3 linked regions of the Cricetulus griseus genome follow. The protein of the gene in region 2 binds, or shares a complex with, the protein of the main gene of each other region. Links are inferred from orthologs where the notes say so. Each region holds a gene or a part of one and is shown on either strand. Other genes may lie near its edges.

The links.
Region 1: the proteins of Rab11a (region 2) and Myo5b are in contact, whole or in part, in a crystal structure (PDB 4LX0), measured with the Homo sapiens proteins. The link is inferred for Cricetulus griseus from reciprocal best matches to the Homo sapiens genes RAB11A and MYO5B. Residues at the interface, in NP_004654.1 of Homo sapiens: Leu11, Lys13, Arg33, Glu35, Ile44, Gly45, Val46, Glu47, Phe48, Ala49, Thr50, Gln63, Trp65, Glu71, Arg72, Tyr73, Arg74, Ala75, Ile76, Thr77, Ala79, Tyr80, Arg82, Gly83; in NP_001073936.1 of Homo sapiens: Ile1627, Gln1628, Gly1629, Leu1630, Trp1706, Met1710, Arg1713, Tyr1714, Ser1717, Gln1718, Glu1721, Arg1724, Gln1745, Leu1747, Gln1748, Leu1749, Lys1750, Lys1751, Glu1755, Ala1759, Leu1763, Tyr1779, Glu1786.
Region 3: the proteins of Rab11a (region 2) and Rab11fip3 are in contact, whole or in part, in a crystal structure (PDB 2HV8), measured with the Homo sapiens proteins. The link is inferred for Cricetulus griseus from reciprocal best matches to the Homo sapiens genes RAB11A and RAB11FIP3. Residues at the interface, in NP_004654.1 of Homo sapiens: Arg33, Ile44, Gly45, Val46, Glu47, Phe48, Ala49, Thr50, Trp65, Arg72, Arg74, Ala75, Ile76, Ala79, Tyr80, Arg82; in NP_055515.1 of Homo sapiens: Asn731, Phe732, Gln735, Ile738, Asp739, Arg740, Ile742, Val743, Met746, Glu747, Pro750, Ser751, Leu753, Glu754, Val755, Lys756.

What each region holds. Positions count from the first base shown.
Region 1 is NC_048595.1:165,305,518-165,310,081, reverse strand, and holds the start of Myo5b (unconventional myosin-Vb), read left to right. Parts: upstream 1-1,678; coding exon 1,679-1,688; intron 1,689-3,110; coding exon 3,111-3,244; intron 3,245-4,564. UniProt on the Homo sapiens protein: May be involved in vesicular trafficking via its association with the CART complex. The CART complex is necessary for efficient transferrin receptor recycling but not for EGFR degradation.
Region 2 is NC_048597.1:176,352,270-176,356,739, forward strand, and holds the start of Rab11a (ras-related protein Rab-11A), read right to left. Parts: upstream 3,074-4,470; 5' UTR 2,953-3,073; coding exon 2,913-2,952; intron 1-2,912. UniProt on the Homo sapiens protein: The small GTPases Rab are key regulators of intracellular membrane trafficking, from the formation of transport vesicles to their fusion with membranes.
Region 3 is NC_048600.1:45,614,821-45,618,840, forward strand, and holds part of Rab11fip3 (rab11 family-interacting protein 3), read right to left. Parts: intron 2,290-4,020; coding exon 2,186-2,289; intron 1-2,185. UniProt on the Homo sapiens protein: Downstream effector molecule for Rab11 GTPase which is involved in endocytic trafficking, cytokinesis and intracellular ciliogenesis by participating in membrane delivery. Recruited by Rab11 to endosomes where it links Rab11 to dynein motor complex.

The sequences.
Region 1 (4,564 bases), on a different chromosome or scaffold from region 2:
GCTTAGATCTGAGAGAAACTCTCAAAGGTGTGAAAAATAAAAGGCTGGAAGTAACTCAATGGTAAAGCACTGTCTAACATATGCCAGGTACTAGGTTCAGTCCTCCAGGTCCTCCCACACACACTCAATTCAGAACTGTTTTAAGTGGATTTACTGCTTTTGTCCAGGACTGAAATTTGGTCCCCAGCACCTACATGATGGCTCACACACACCACTTGACTCTGGTTCCAGAGGATCCCATGTTCTCTCTGGTCCTGTGTAGGAATCTGCAGACATCTGATACACATAAACTCAGGCAAATACACATACACACACATAAAAGAAGACAAGTTTCTTGAAAATATGTATTGTTACAGTTTTCCTACAGGTTAGTAGTAAGAACGCATGACAAGAGAAGGTTTGCATACTCCATGGTTTTGGACCCTCTCTAGTACAACAATGTGGTGGACTTTAGGGGAGGGTTGCTGTTTGGTTTTTATAATTTTTTTAAATTACAATTATGTCATTTTCCCCTTCCCTTTTCTCCCTCTAACTCATCCCATGCCCCCACCCCAGCTCTCTCTCAAATTCATGGTCTCTTTAGTTATTGGACTATATATATGAATATATATGTGTGTATACACACACATATTCCTTAATACACAAATACAATCTGCTCCACCTATAATGTTACCTGTATGTATATAATCTCTGGGCTGACCACTTGGTATTAGATAAGCAGTTTGGGGCTCTTCTCTCGGGAAGACCACTTCTCTTTTCCTTTGGAAGATTGCATGGCTCTTTCTGGTACCATGAAAGGTAGTCCTCCAGGAGGTGGCTTTAAGTCAATCCTAGCTCCAGTCCTCTGGGTCTTGCATCTGAAGGGCATGATGTCTTCAGCAATAAGGACTTACTTTCCATCTCTGGGGGCAGGAAAGGGGAATCTCTTGGACAACCCTGACCAACAACTCAAAAGGGGAGTCTCATGCTTGGGAGTTTTTGTTAGTCTATGGCCCTTGGAGGAAGTGTTGTCAGTCCACATGAGAAGATTGCATTTCAATTGTATATGTGTATGTGTACACAGAATATATATATATATATGTATATATATATATACATATATATATAATCTCTCTGCCTAAATTATGATATATAATTTTAGGCAGGGAGATAACAGTATGCTTCTTTATAACTTTTTCATACATTATTACTGTATTTATCTTTCCATTTTGCCCCTTTCCCTCTTCAGGTCAACTGTACCCTGCTACTCCCCTCTGTTGCTCTCCTCCTGCACTTTCGTGGTTGCTGCACTTGCTCCAGGCTTTATACTCACATCGTTTTAACTGAGAGCAAATATTTCATGCATGCACTCTGTCTGGCTGTATAGCATTTGCGTCACTCCTGGAGATGTCTCCTTCAAATCCCTTTCCTCTCCACAGCCCCATCACACCTGGCTACCCTCCCCTTCTCAAGTCCCTTGCTAGTTACTGTGGCGTCTCTCCCTTTCCAGTCTGTGGGTCTGCTTTCTTATTGTTTATTTTGTGCTGGTGATACTTTGTGCATATTTCAGAGACCATGCCTTACCTTAAGTCATGTGGGCAAGTGAGGGTGGCAGTGTTTGCAAAGCTAGAATGCAAAGTTGGTGTATCATTAAATCACCCTTGAACGTGCTGTAAATTGCCCATTGTGTGTGCTAAGTATGATGTTGGGTGAGTGTCCCTGTTGAGTAATTTGTAGGAGCTTCAAGTGGAGAACCCATAGAGGATAAATGTAAGAGGCCAGAGGCACGGGGAAGCCAGCCTGTAGATGCAGCCACCCTGCATTCAGAACAGAGGAGAAATGTCACACAGGTTGTTATTGGAGGGAGACTGGGAAGATTTATGATAGCATGTGGCACGGACTGGCACAGGCTACTCGCCAAGTGTTTACTGGATTTTGGTCTGAGGTTTGTCCAGTAAGATCTGAATCTGCAATGCCTTCCTAAAGCCACATTAGAACGAAGCTGCCTGGTTCTTCTTTCTCAGCCAGATATATCTTCCCTGCCCTCCTTGTCTCTTCTGCATGGACTGAGTAGCCATTATCCACCCTGACCCCCAACACACACACACACACACTTAGGAGTTGTCCCATCACTCCTTCAACTATATTTTGATGAGTATCACCTGCCCTACTAGGTAGGTTCCTGAAGTTTGGGCAGTTGATTTCCATGTCTGTACTGGATTATGTGGTGCTCAGGGCAATATATTTTAGGTAAAACCAGGCTCCCCTATAAGATGCATTCCATTTTTAATCACTGAGCACACCTGCTAGATGTGCTGAATCCTAAGGATTCAAAGTAATGTGTCTAGAAGATCTTGCAATCATGAAATGAGACTCACTTGAAAGAAATGACTGTGAAGCCAGAAAGGAAGCTAATCAGACAGATTTACTATGGTCTCAAAGGCTAACTTTTTTGATGATAGTAGTCAATAAAAAGGTGATGATAGTCAGTGAAAAGGTGATCATAGTAGTCAGTGAAAATGTGTGGTTGAGGATGTTTACATCATGGTGGGCCACAGAGTCAGAAGACAGTGGCTGGATCAGAGCAAGGGATGAAGGCAGGTATAACCATCACAACCCCCCCCCACAAGTCCACTAGTGTCATGATTTCAGCTAGGCCAAACATCCTAAAGGGTCAGGGCCTCCTGGATTAGCAGGTCCAGGGTCCAAAATCATTTAGAGCATGAGGAGATATTTTGGATTTATACCATTAACAGTGGGTGCCTTTGACTTGTTGGCCACTTCCACTGAATGTAGACTGTGAAGTCTTGCTGTGCTTCCCTGTGTTTGACCAGTATTATTTTACTAATTATAACATGCTCCATCCTTCTGTTTTGTGTCTCCTTTTAAAAGGGTGGTAAGCCTGTGTTGAGCTGTCTCCTGAAAGAATTTTAATGTGACTATCACGTTTTCTTAAGACTGAGAGGGTGCTGTTGTAAACTAGTCCTATGAACTATTTATTATTTATAATATTGAATCATCTTGTGTCTTTAGTGGGACTCATGGTATATGGATGTTGCTGTAGAATATTTTCCTGACAACTCCTTTATAGATGCTGACACATGCTTTGGATGCTTTGCTTTGTGTCTAAGTCTCTTTTCTTCTCATCTTTCAGTACACAAGGGTCTGGATCCCTGACCCAGATGAAGTGTGGCGCTCAGCTGAATTAACCAAGGACTACAAAGAGGGGGATAAAAGCCTGCAGCTCAGACTGGAAGATGACACAGTAAGTGCTGGTCCTTAGGGTGGGCGCCCAAAATATATGGACTTAGATTTGCCTGCCCGTTGGTGTTTCTGAATTCCAAATTCTTCTGTCATTGTTAATGATAGTGTATGTGAAAAGTGACAAACCATGAGTCTGCCCACTCATGTTAGCAAGTGGAGTTTGACTGGTAGCTGAGACAAGAGTCTTTATGTTGGAGTGAAGAGAACAAGTCTGCTGTGTTGAGGCATCAGCAAGAGGGAACAATCCCTGGGAACAGAACAGGTGGTGGGAGCCTGGGCTCAGGGTACCTTTGGCCAACAGTGGGTAATGTTAATGCAGGATCTACGTGTGCCCAGTGCCCGAGACCCCAGTGTTGCATGTGCACAAGGGAAGGAAGGCAGACCAGTGATCCTGGGACCCAGGAGGCCTGAGGCTGAGGTGACAGACAGCCATTTTACAAAGGGTACACACAGGGAGCCTGGTTTTAAACAAAGTGGTGGGATGACATGAAGAACTGGCTTTAAGACAGACAGATGGCTAAATGGATGGGCTGCAGAGCAGGATAGAGTGAATGAAAGGTTTGTGTTGAAATCCAGGGCCTGGAATGTCTATATTGTGTCCTTTGCCTGTGAATTATTAACTGTCTTGGTGTTGTTCATTCTTCGAAGTATTTTGTTCTGTTTCCCACTCCAAATGCTTGGTTGAGCAACCTGTTGATTGAACATTCTCCAACCACCAACCCGTGCTGTATGAATTCGAGTGTGTCACTTTGAGTATGGCACTGGGGCAGGTGAATTCAGGTTGGTTAGCATGTCCTTCTCCCTCTAGCTGACAGGCTTTGCTAGTCATATCTTGGCTTTGAGGGAAGAAACAAAACTGTCAGCAGATGGAATCTTGTTTACCATTTTGAATAACTTCCCACCCTGCCCCTGAAACAAAATGAATTTAGTCCACCCGCTTGAATAGAGTGGATTCTACTCCAACAGATTTCATTTCAGTTGGTCTTTTCATGTGGGTGGGTGTTGTTAAAAGCTGTATGGAGGAAGCAAGGGCTGATCTGTCATGTTGCTAAAACAGCAGATACTTGTGTCCTTGACTGCACACAGCTTTGGCCCTGAACGACAAATCTTGGAAGCTGCCCATGGCCCATCTTTTCCTATCCGGCTATGAGACTGGTCACGGTGGAACTGGAAGAAAGCCCCGGGCTGGAGATCAGCATAGGCTCTGAGCATACAAGTCTCTCTCTCTATTGCCTGTGGCTTACGGCTGGCATAAAGCTGGCCCCAAAAGTGACTGGGCACTGTCCACTGGAGGTAGGGACACAGGCACTGCATGGCTGGA
Region 2 (4,470 bases):
AGAACTGTCCTTACCTGTCCATATCACATCCCCACTCACACTACTCCACTCCATGTGATAAACATACCCCTTCATGCTAAATGTTACAAACTCCAATTTCCTTAACTATGCAGTGTGCTAAGTTAGCCTTCTCCAAAGTAGAAATGCTTTGGTTCATCTTAGAATAAATCTCTCTGGAATGAAATCATTTTAAAATAATTGTATAAGTAAAAAATTGGCTAAGTAATCAGTGTTGAAATAAAAAATAAAGTGACTCATATCCTGTAGCAGTTTCTAAAAAGTGGAAACTCTTCTCAGCAGATTTTTTTTTTGGGGGGGGTGGGTTTCGAGTCAGGGTTTCTCGGTGTAGCTTTGGAGCCTATCCTGGCAGTCGCTCTGGAGACCAGGCTGGCCTTGAACTCACAGAGATCCACCTGCCTCTGCCTCCCAAGTGCTGGGATTAAAGGCATGTGCCACCAATGCCTGGCAAATTTTTTAAACATCCAGTCTTATACGACAAAAAAATAAAAAATAAAACCAGAACCCACAGAGATACAAAATAATTCAGAAGTTTCTTAGTTCTTCTGTGCTTCTTTATAAAACTTACATGTTCTTTAACATAAAGATTGATTGTTTAGTGAGATGGCTCAGTGGGTAACGGTGCTTCCCATCAAGCCTGATGACCTGAGTTCCACCCCTGAGACTGACACAGTGGAAGAAAGTAACCGACTCCCCAAAAGGTGTTCTCTCACCTCCTCACGTGCCATGTGCACATTATCACACACATCAATAAATGTCGTTTTTAAACATTTAAAAAGATTTATGGCTCAAGAACTAACAAGAATTGTAACAATTTCATTTATATCATTTACTGAATCTTCACAAGAGCTAAATTTTACAATCTCACTTATTCCTCAAAAAGGTATCACAGGATTTCCTTTACTGAGGAAACTGAGGCTTAAAAAAAGTTGAGCAGGGGGGAAATAATTATAATTTCAAAAAATAAAAAAATTACTTTTGAAAAGTTAACTTTTCCAAAGTCACAGGCAAATATAAAGCCCTAGTGTTTTCTCCACAATCTAGGATAAATTAACACTCCTAGGAAAAATAAACAGCTTTCTATAGCCAACCTTCACATTCCAAATCAAATAGAAATAACTTCGAAAGAGACTAGGTACTCACTGTCATTACGAAGTACTTAAGTAAACCAACCCCAAATGCTCCTGGGATTTAAGTAATTTCACATCATCTCAGATGCCTTCAGCATTCTAGGTCTCCAATTTGTTTTGGGTTTGGTTTTGATTTTTTGAGACAGGGTCTCACTATGTAACTCTGGCTGGGAACCCACACGATCAACCTCCCTCTGCCTCCTGAATGCTGGAATTTTAAAGGCTAACTACAGCACACCAGGTTTTCCTATTTGTATTTTTAAAGTTTGGTACCTTACTAACTTACCATATAAACAGACTATCCCGGGGGCTAAATAATGATAAGGGTGTACCAGCAGCTAATACACCAAGACTTGTAAAAGTATATGGTATCGCAAAAGAAGTGTATCCTGCTTCATCATTTCGTCAGTCACTCTTAGCACCCAATGGCAAAGCCAGAAACACCATGCTTCACACTCTTGAAACTCCACCCTCCACAGTAAAGCTTTAATAGCAAAGCTTCTTCCTCTCTGGTAATGATCTTTGTTCAGCACACTACTGATGGCTGCCCTTCTAAATCAGGAGCAGAGCAAGACTACGAAAGTGAGAGCGCATTCATGAACAACAACAAAAAAAGCGTTCACTGTACTCTCTTTTCGCTGGGAACTGTATCCTTTCACTTTGGCTTCTTTCCGGACTCAACCAATAAGCAATTCTCTATCTACTCCCCATCCTCCCATGTCTGTCCACCCGCTTCGCATTTTCCCCTACCTTGCAATAAATTCTTAATTTCACTAAAAGAGCACGCCACCACTATAACCCTCTCCCACCGTTGGGGAAAGGTATGTGACCAACCAGGGCTCTTCCCTTCCTGTTGGATCCTCCCAGTATTGCAGCAGGAAGCAACCAGTCCATAGTGATAAGCTAGCTAGTATTTGTGCAGCGCACAACCTTTCCTGTCCAGGAACTGGGCCTTCAGGTCTGGCAGGGATAACAGCCACCACCCATCCGCAGCCCCTTCACGAAAGCCAAGTAAAGGAGTTATCTGGGTCTGGTTGTAGCTGAGCAGGGACACGAGAAGGAAGGGGGTTAAAAAGGCGAGGTGGGAAGTCATCTGCCTGCCTGGACACTGCGACAAGTGCACGCACGCCAGGGGTGATGGACAGGCCCTCTTGCCCTCCCTTGGTCTCCCCTCCCACCAGCCAGGTCGCACCGCAGCTCTGAACGTTAGGTGAAAAGGAAAGGCACAGAGTTGCCCATCTGCGGGGAGGGAGAGGTCAGTCCGCGGATACTGACCTCGAGGTCTGCAGGGATGGGGGTGGGGGCCCTGGGATGGGCGAATCTGGCCGAAGCCCAGGAAAGGCTCACTCGGAGGGAGGGGAAACGAAAGGAAATGAAAAGGAAAAAAGACAACAAACAAACAAATAAACAAGCAAAAACCCCGTAGAGTCGGTGCCCCAAAATGGGTGCTGAGCCTAGGCAGGGGCCTGTCAGAGGGGGATGTGAGGCCGGCAGCGTGCATCCAAGAGGAGGGGCCCGAGATGCCCAGGGAAGAAACTGCCAGACCGTGAGGAACGCAGCCATCGGGGAAGACACACAGTGAGGGGCGACGCGGCCCGGCAGCCCTCCCCGAGGCGCAGGAACTGCGCCGGCCGGCGGGACCCCCGTCGGGGCAGCAGGGAGGAAGCTGAGGCGGGCTCCGTCCAGGGCAGGGCTCTAGCCCTCGCGCGGGTCCCCCGGGAGTGTCTCGGGCCCGAACAGGCACTCGGCGGCCCAAGCACTCACCTTTAAAGAGGTAGTCGTACTCGTCGTCACGGGTGCCCATGGCGCGGCCGAGGAGCTGAGGGGCGGGAGCGGCGGAGGCGACAGCGGCGGGACCAGGGGGCGTCGCTGCAGGGGTAACCCGAGCGCCGAGCTTCAGCTGCCGGACCCGGTGAAGAGCCCCGCCCTGCCTCTGCGTCACTTCCGTCAGGCCCCAGTCCCTCACAGGAAGGACTTCCGGAGAAGTGGCGCCCCGCCCCTGATGTGTGCACGGGAGTGGACTCCGCACTCTCGGCCGGCTTCGGAAGGCTTACATGGAACAGTCTTAAAATGCCCAGCTAGATACAGTCCTACGGGCCTTTGGCTTGTTCTTTCCTTAACCATGCAGGGAAGAGAGGCATAGTGTTTGTTTCCGGTCGAGGGGGGGGTGGGGGCGGGGTTTTGTTACCATTAGACTCCCAAAGATAGTGCTGCTTCTGTGCTGGTTCCATGGTGTAATGGTTAGCACTCTGGACTCTGAATCCAGCGATCCGAGTTCAAATCTCGGTGGAACCTGTTTCTTTAGTCTTTTGTTATTATATTTATTCTTAATTCACATTGAATGACAGAATAATTGTATCTGCTTTTGGATATAATACATATAGTATTTACCTATAAAGATTCACCAATGAATCTCTTCAGTTCAGTAGTGTCTGCTACATGGAGACCAGGACATTAAACTCTTACTTCATTTTAGCCTTGAAGGAAGCTTGTTTCTTGATTCCTTTTGCTGGAATTTTCTACCTTACGCTTCAGTTAAGGATAAGCACTTCTCTTCAGAAATCTCTTACACTATCTCCAAATGTCATTAAGAGAACGTCACCCACCATCCTCATAAAGATCCATCAAGACCTTGAGTCTTATCTGCTGGCCTCCAAGCTAAGCCAGGTTAAATAAATTTAACACAGAGGACAGCAACTTCCATTTTAGCGAATGTCAATGTTAAGACTCAAGTGATTTGCTATAACGTCTCCTCATAGTTGTTTTGTTCTTATTGTTGTTTGAGGCAGTCTCACTCCCCTCTGTAACCCAGAATGGCTTTGAAATCACTGTGTAGCCCAGGCTGGGCTCTGCTATGTTCCTCTGCCCCCTCTCACCCCACCCTCTAAACACACAGAGGAATATTCACCCAATAATTCCTGGGAAATGTATGTTAGGTCATGGGAAAAGAGAATTCAGCTTACAGATGGAGTTCAAGTTGCTAATCAACTGACCTTAAGCAGGGATATTATCTTTGATAATCTGAGTAGACTCAGGGTTGTCCTTAGCGTCTTCCCAAAGTGGAAAAGAGGGGGTTGTCAACAGGGATGTGGTGCTCCTCCAAGTTGCCACCAGCCACCTGAGGAGAGGGAGCTGGATTCAGAGAAAACCTGACTCTTGACTTTGCTTCATCTCAGCGTGATAAAATATGAAATGGAATTGGAATTTATTAAAAGAGATTTTCATATAGATTCTAAATTCTATGGTTAAGAGGCAGTGAGGGTCTCAGAAAGAAAGACATAGCCAAGAGAATGAGCTTTTCAGAGAGTCCTGCCTTGTCTTT
Region 3 (4,020 bases), on a different chromosome or scaffold from region 2:
TACAAAGAACAGCAGCACAGGCTCCTTCCTAGGAAGGTCAGCCACATTCAGAACACATCTCCAAGGGCTCCTGATCCCCTCGCCTCCACCTCCTAAGTGCTGGGATTACACGACCCCAGACATGGCTCCTTATCAGTTCTTTCTAAAAGATTTATTTTTAGTTTATGTGCATGTGTGTTTTGCTTCCATGTATGTAAGTGTGCCACGTGTGAGTTTATGCCCATGAGGAGCTGGAGTTGTAGAGTTGTGAGCTGCTACGCAGGTGCTAGAAACTGAACTCAAGTCCTCTGCAAGAGGAGCAAATGCCACATCTCCATCCCCTTGGTTTCTTTTCATTTCTGGCCCCCCTCCCCTTGTTTTTTATGTCACTGTGGTCCAGGCTCCCTTGGAACTCACCACATTCCTGCCTCTTTTCTTTTCTTTTTTTTTTTTTTAAAGAATTTGAAATGACCTTTATTTCTTTCTCAAAACCCCCCTCTTTTCTTTTGCTCTATGCAGACAGCAACTCTGCCACATTTCACCTTGCCCATGTGAGGAGATCATGCCACTTGCCTTCCTGTTCAATTTGCTTTTTGGTTAAGCAGCTTGAAAATGCTGAGGTCTGCAGAGGCCATGCCCCTGCACAAGATCTTCCTTACCTGTTCCTCCAGGACAGAGCTCTGTCCTCAGCCCCACAGCCCTGCTGTCCTCTGAGGCCCTGGACAACCATGTAAGCTGCACTAACTCCATTTTCTCATCTGGAAAACAGAGAAAGTGTCTGCCTCCCACAGTTACTGAAGGATAAATGAGGGGAGCAAGAGCCTCAACACAGGGCCAATGCCACGGCTGGAATGTTTTCCCTGGGGCAGGTTCTCAGAAACAGAGTCATCAGAGGCTCCCATTCTATGAACTGGCTGCACATGGACCCTGGGTCAGTTCCACAAAGAGTACCAAGTGCTTCAGAAAACTGACCTGTAGCCTTTAATCCCAGCACTCAGGAGGCAGAGGCAGGTGGATCTCTGTGAGTTTGACTCCAGCCTGGTCTACAAAGTGAGTTCTAGGATAGCCAAAGTTACACAGAGAAAGCCTGTTCTGAAAAAACAAAACAAAACAAAACAAAAAACAAACCAGAAAAGCGGCCTCAAGGCTCTGGGTGCAGCGACGCCCTCCAACTTTGAGGGTCTGTCTGGAACTCAGCCTCATACAGCACATGCTCCACTACTGAGCCCCTCCCCACATGATTTATTTATTGTTTAATTTTTGAAAGATTTGTTTTATTTTTATTTTATCTGGGTGTTTTGCCTTCATGTATGTCTGTGCACCACATGTGTGCAGTGTCTGTGGAGGCCAGACGAGGCGGTGGATTCCCTGGAACTGGATTTACAGAGAGGTGCAAGCTGCCGTGTGAGTGCTGGGAAACAAGCGTGGATCCTCTTAGCTGCTAGGCCATCTCTCCAACACCTTGTTTTAAAAATTTTAAAATCTCGGTGTGTGTATGCAAGTGCATGAGCACGTGTGTGTTGTCAATGCATGTGGTGTCATCCTCAGGAACACTGTCCACTTCCTTTGAAGCCCGATTAGGCTACACTGGCTGGCCAGCAAAGCCCAAGGGTTCTCTTGTTTCTACCTCTCTAATTCTGGGATTACAACTGTGTGTCCTCATGCCTAGCATTTACATGGGATTTGGGGATAAAATCCAGGTCTCCATGTTTGCCAAGACAAACACTTTACTGGCTGGTACCATTTCTGATACCATTTCATATAGTCTAGGCTGATCTTGGACACACTATATACCCAAGAATAACCTTGAACTCGAGACCCTCCTACACTCCCCAAGTGTTTGGATTGTGCATATGCATCACAATGCCCAGCTCTCCATTTTAAGCTGTACCTCCCCAACTGCTTGTGATGGACAGAACTATCTCACATGCATTGAGTCAAGTAGTACCCTTGCTCACTTTTCTGGAACCCTACTGTCTATAATATTGTGGCAGATATCTGCCAGGGTAAGAGTATTCAGGTCAAAGTCTCAGATGAACCTGCCATAGACCTCTGGCCATATCTGGCACTCATCCAGTACCTGAATGGATGGATGGCCAGGTAGGAGCTAGTTCTCTGCAGATCCTGCTTGGTGAGGAAGAGAATACACAGGGCAAGAGTGATACTGTGATGGCTCCAGGCAGTGCCAGGCCACAAGCACACTCACCTGTGCACCAGCTGGAGGTTCTCTTGCCTCAGTCTGCCATGCTGCTCCCCAGCAGCTGCACTATCCTTCTCCAGCTCTGACACCCGTCTCTCCAGGAAGATGACCTAGGCAGAGAGATAAAGGTTTGAGGAACAAGCAGAAAAGTAGAAGCTGTGCCCCCAATGGAACATCTGCATGTCAGCATGGGGATTCCCATACCACCTGCCGAGTGGAGCCATGCTCATCCTTACAGACATCTTATAAACCCACAGCAGTGCGGCTCCCACAGGGTCACACTTGACGCAACAGAACAAGGCAAATGTCATTGGAAAATACAAGCCCTAAAGGGTACCAAGAGTACCTTCTGGCTTGTGCTTGGAACCATGAGGCTCACCCAGACACACATTCCCTTGTGAGATTCAAATGCCAGATAAAAAACACACAGAGGTGGCACAGATGTCTGAAGACAGTACAGATAGAAAGGTCCATGTCTCAGTCTTTTCCTCCTTCATGGGAGAATGTACTACGAGGAAGGATGGAGACAAGCAGAGGAAGGATTTAGCCTCAGAATACAACATAAGACTCTGAGGATTCTGAGAAGTGGGAGAGCAAAGGTAAGGCTGGGAGCAGTGAGAGATGAAGCATGGCAGAGAAGAGGCCTAGCAGAAATAGGAGGAGCCACGGCATTGTGAGGAGGAGACCAGGTAGGATACTAAGACAAAGCAGGCACAGGTGAATGCAAGGCAGAGTAAAGAGGAGATTAGGTGGCTAGGGAAACCTTAGTGGATATCATACCAGTACAGTGTGAAGAAAGGCAGGTGTACAGGCAAGTGAATTGAGTACGAAGAAGTTGGAGCTGGAAGACAGGGTGAGATGAGGTGCAGGGGAAGGCAAGGCCAGGCACAGATGCCTGGCAGGTACAGGAGGAACCATGTTAGGGTTGCTGCTGCCACCCTTACTAGACTCAGACTGGTCCTTGACAAAGGGACATGACCACAGTGAGGCTCCAGGTCAGGCTGCGGCAATGTACACAAGCCAAGCCCATGGGGGAGTTACCGCTCTGTGGAATTAAAAATGAGAATGGCCTTAAAGGACTCATGTATTTGAATAGTTGGTGTGATGGCTATTTTTGTTTGTTAGCTGACTACATCGGACATGAACTAAAACCCAAGCAGCAGAGTACATCTGTCAGTCCCAGCCCAGGAGGGTGTCAGCAGTTAAAGTAACAACATTAATTAATGACATTAAGAGTGAGATTGGGGGCTGGAGAGATGGCTCAGAGGTTAAGAGCACCAACTGCTCTTGCAAAGGTCCTGAGTTCAATTCCCAGCAACCACATGGTGGCTCACAACCATCCGTTATGAGATCTGGTGCCCTCTTCTAGTGTGCAGATATATTTGGAAGCAGAATGTTGTATACATAATAAATAAATAAAATCTTTAAAAAAAAAAAAAGAGTGAGATTGGGTAACTTGGGAAGGGGATGTGTGGGAAGACCCTATTGGAGCTGAGGACATTGAACCCTCAGGCTCTCAAGGGTTTATCTCACTTGAGGCAGTATTCTCTCCACCTCAGCAGAAGAAGTACTCCCACCCAACACTCTGAAATATGGCCTATTCTGCCTTTGACTGAGGAAATTAATCCTTCATTGTCTGCTAAACCAGCAATGACTTTGTCTGAAGGAAATGCCAGATAGCACAGTACTGATGTCCCTCATGGCTGGCCAACAGTTGCCTCTAGACCTATAATGAGACCTAAGGCTAAACAGGCTCTAGAGGGGAGGTAGAGAGTATAGTCCATGAGGTACACCACACTACTAAAGAGCTTAATGAGTTTGCTAATTCATTCCAGCACAAG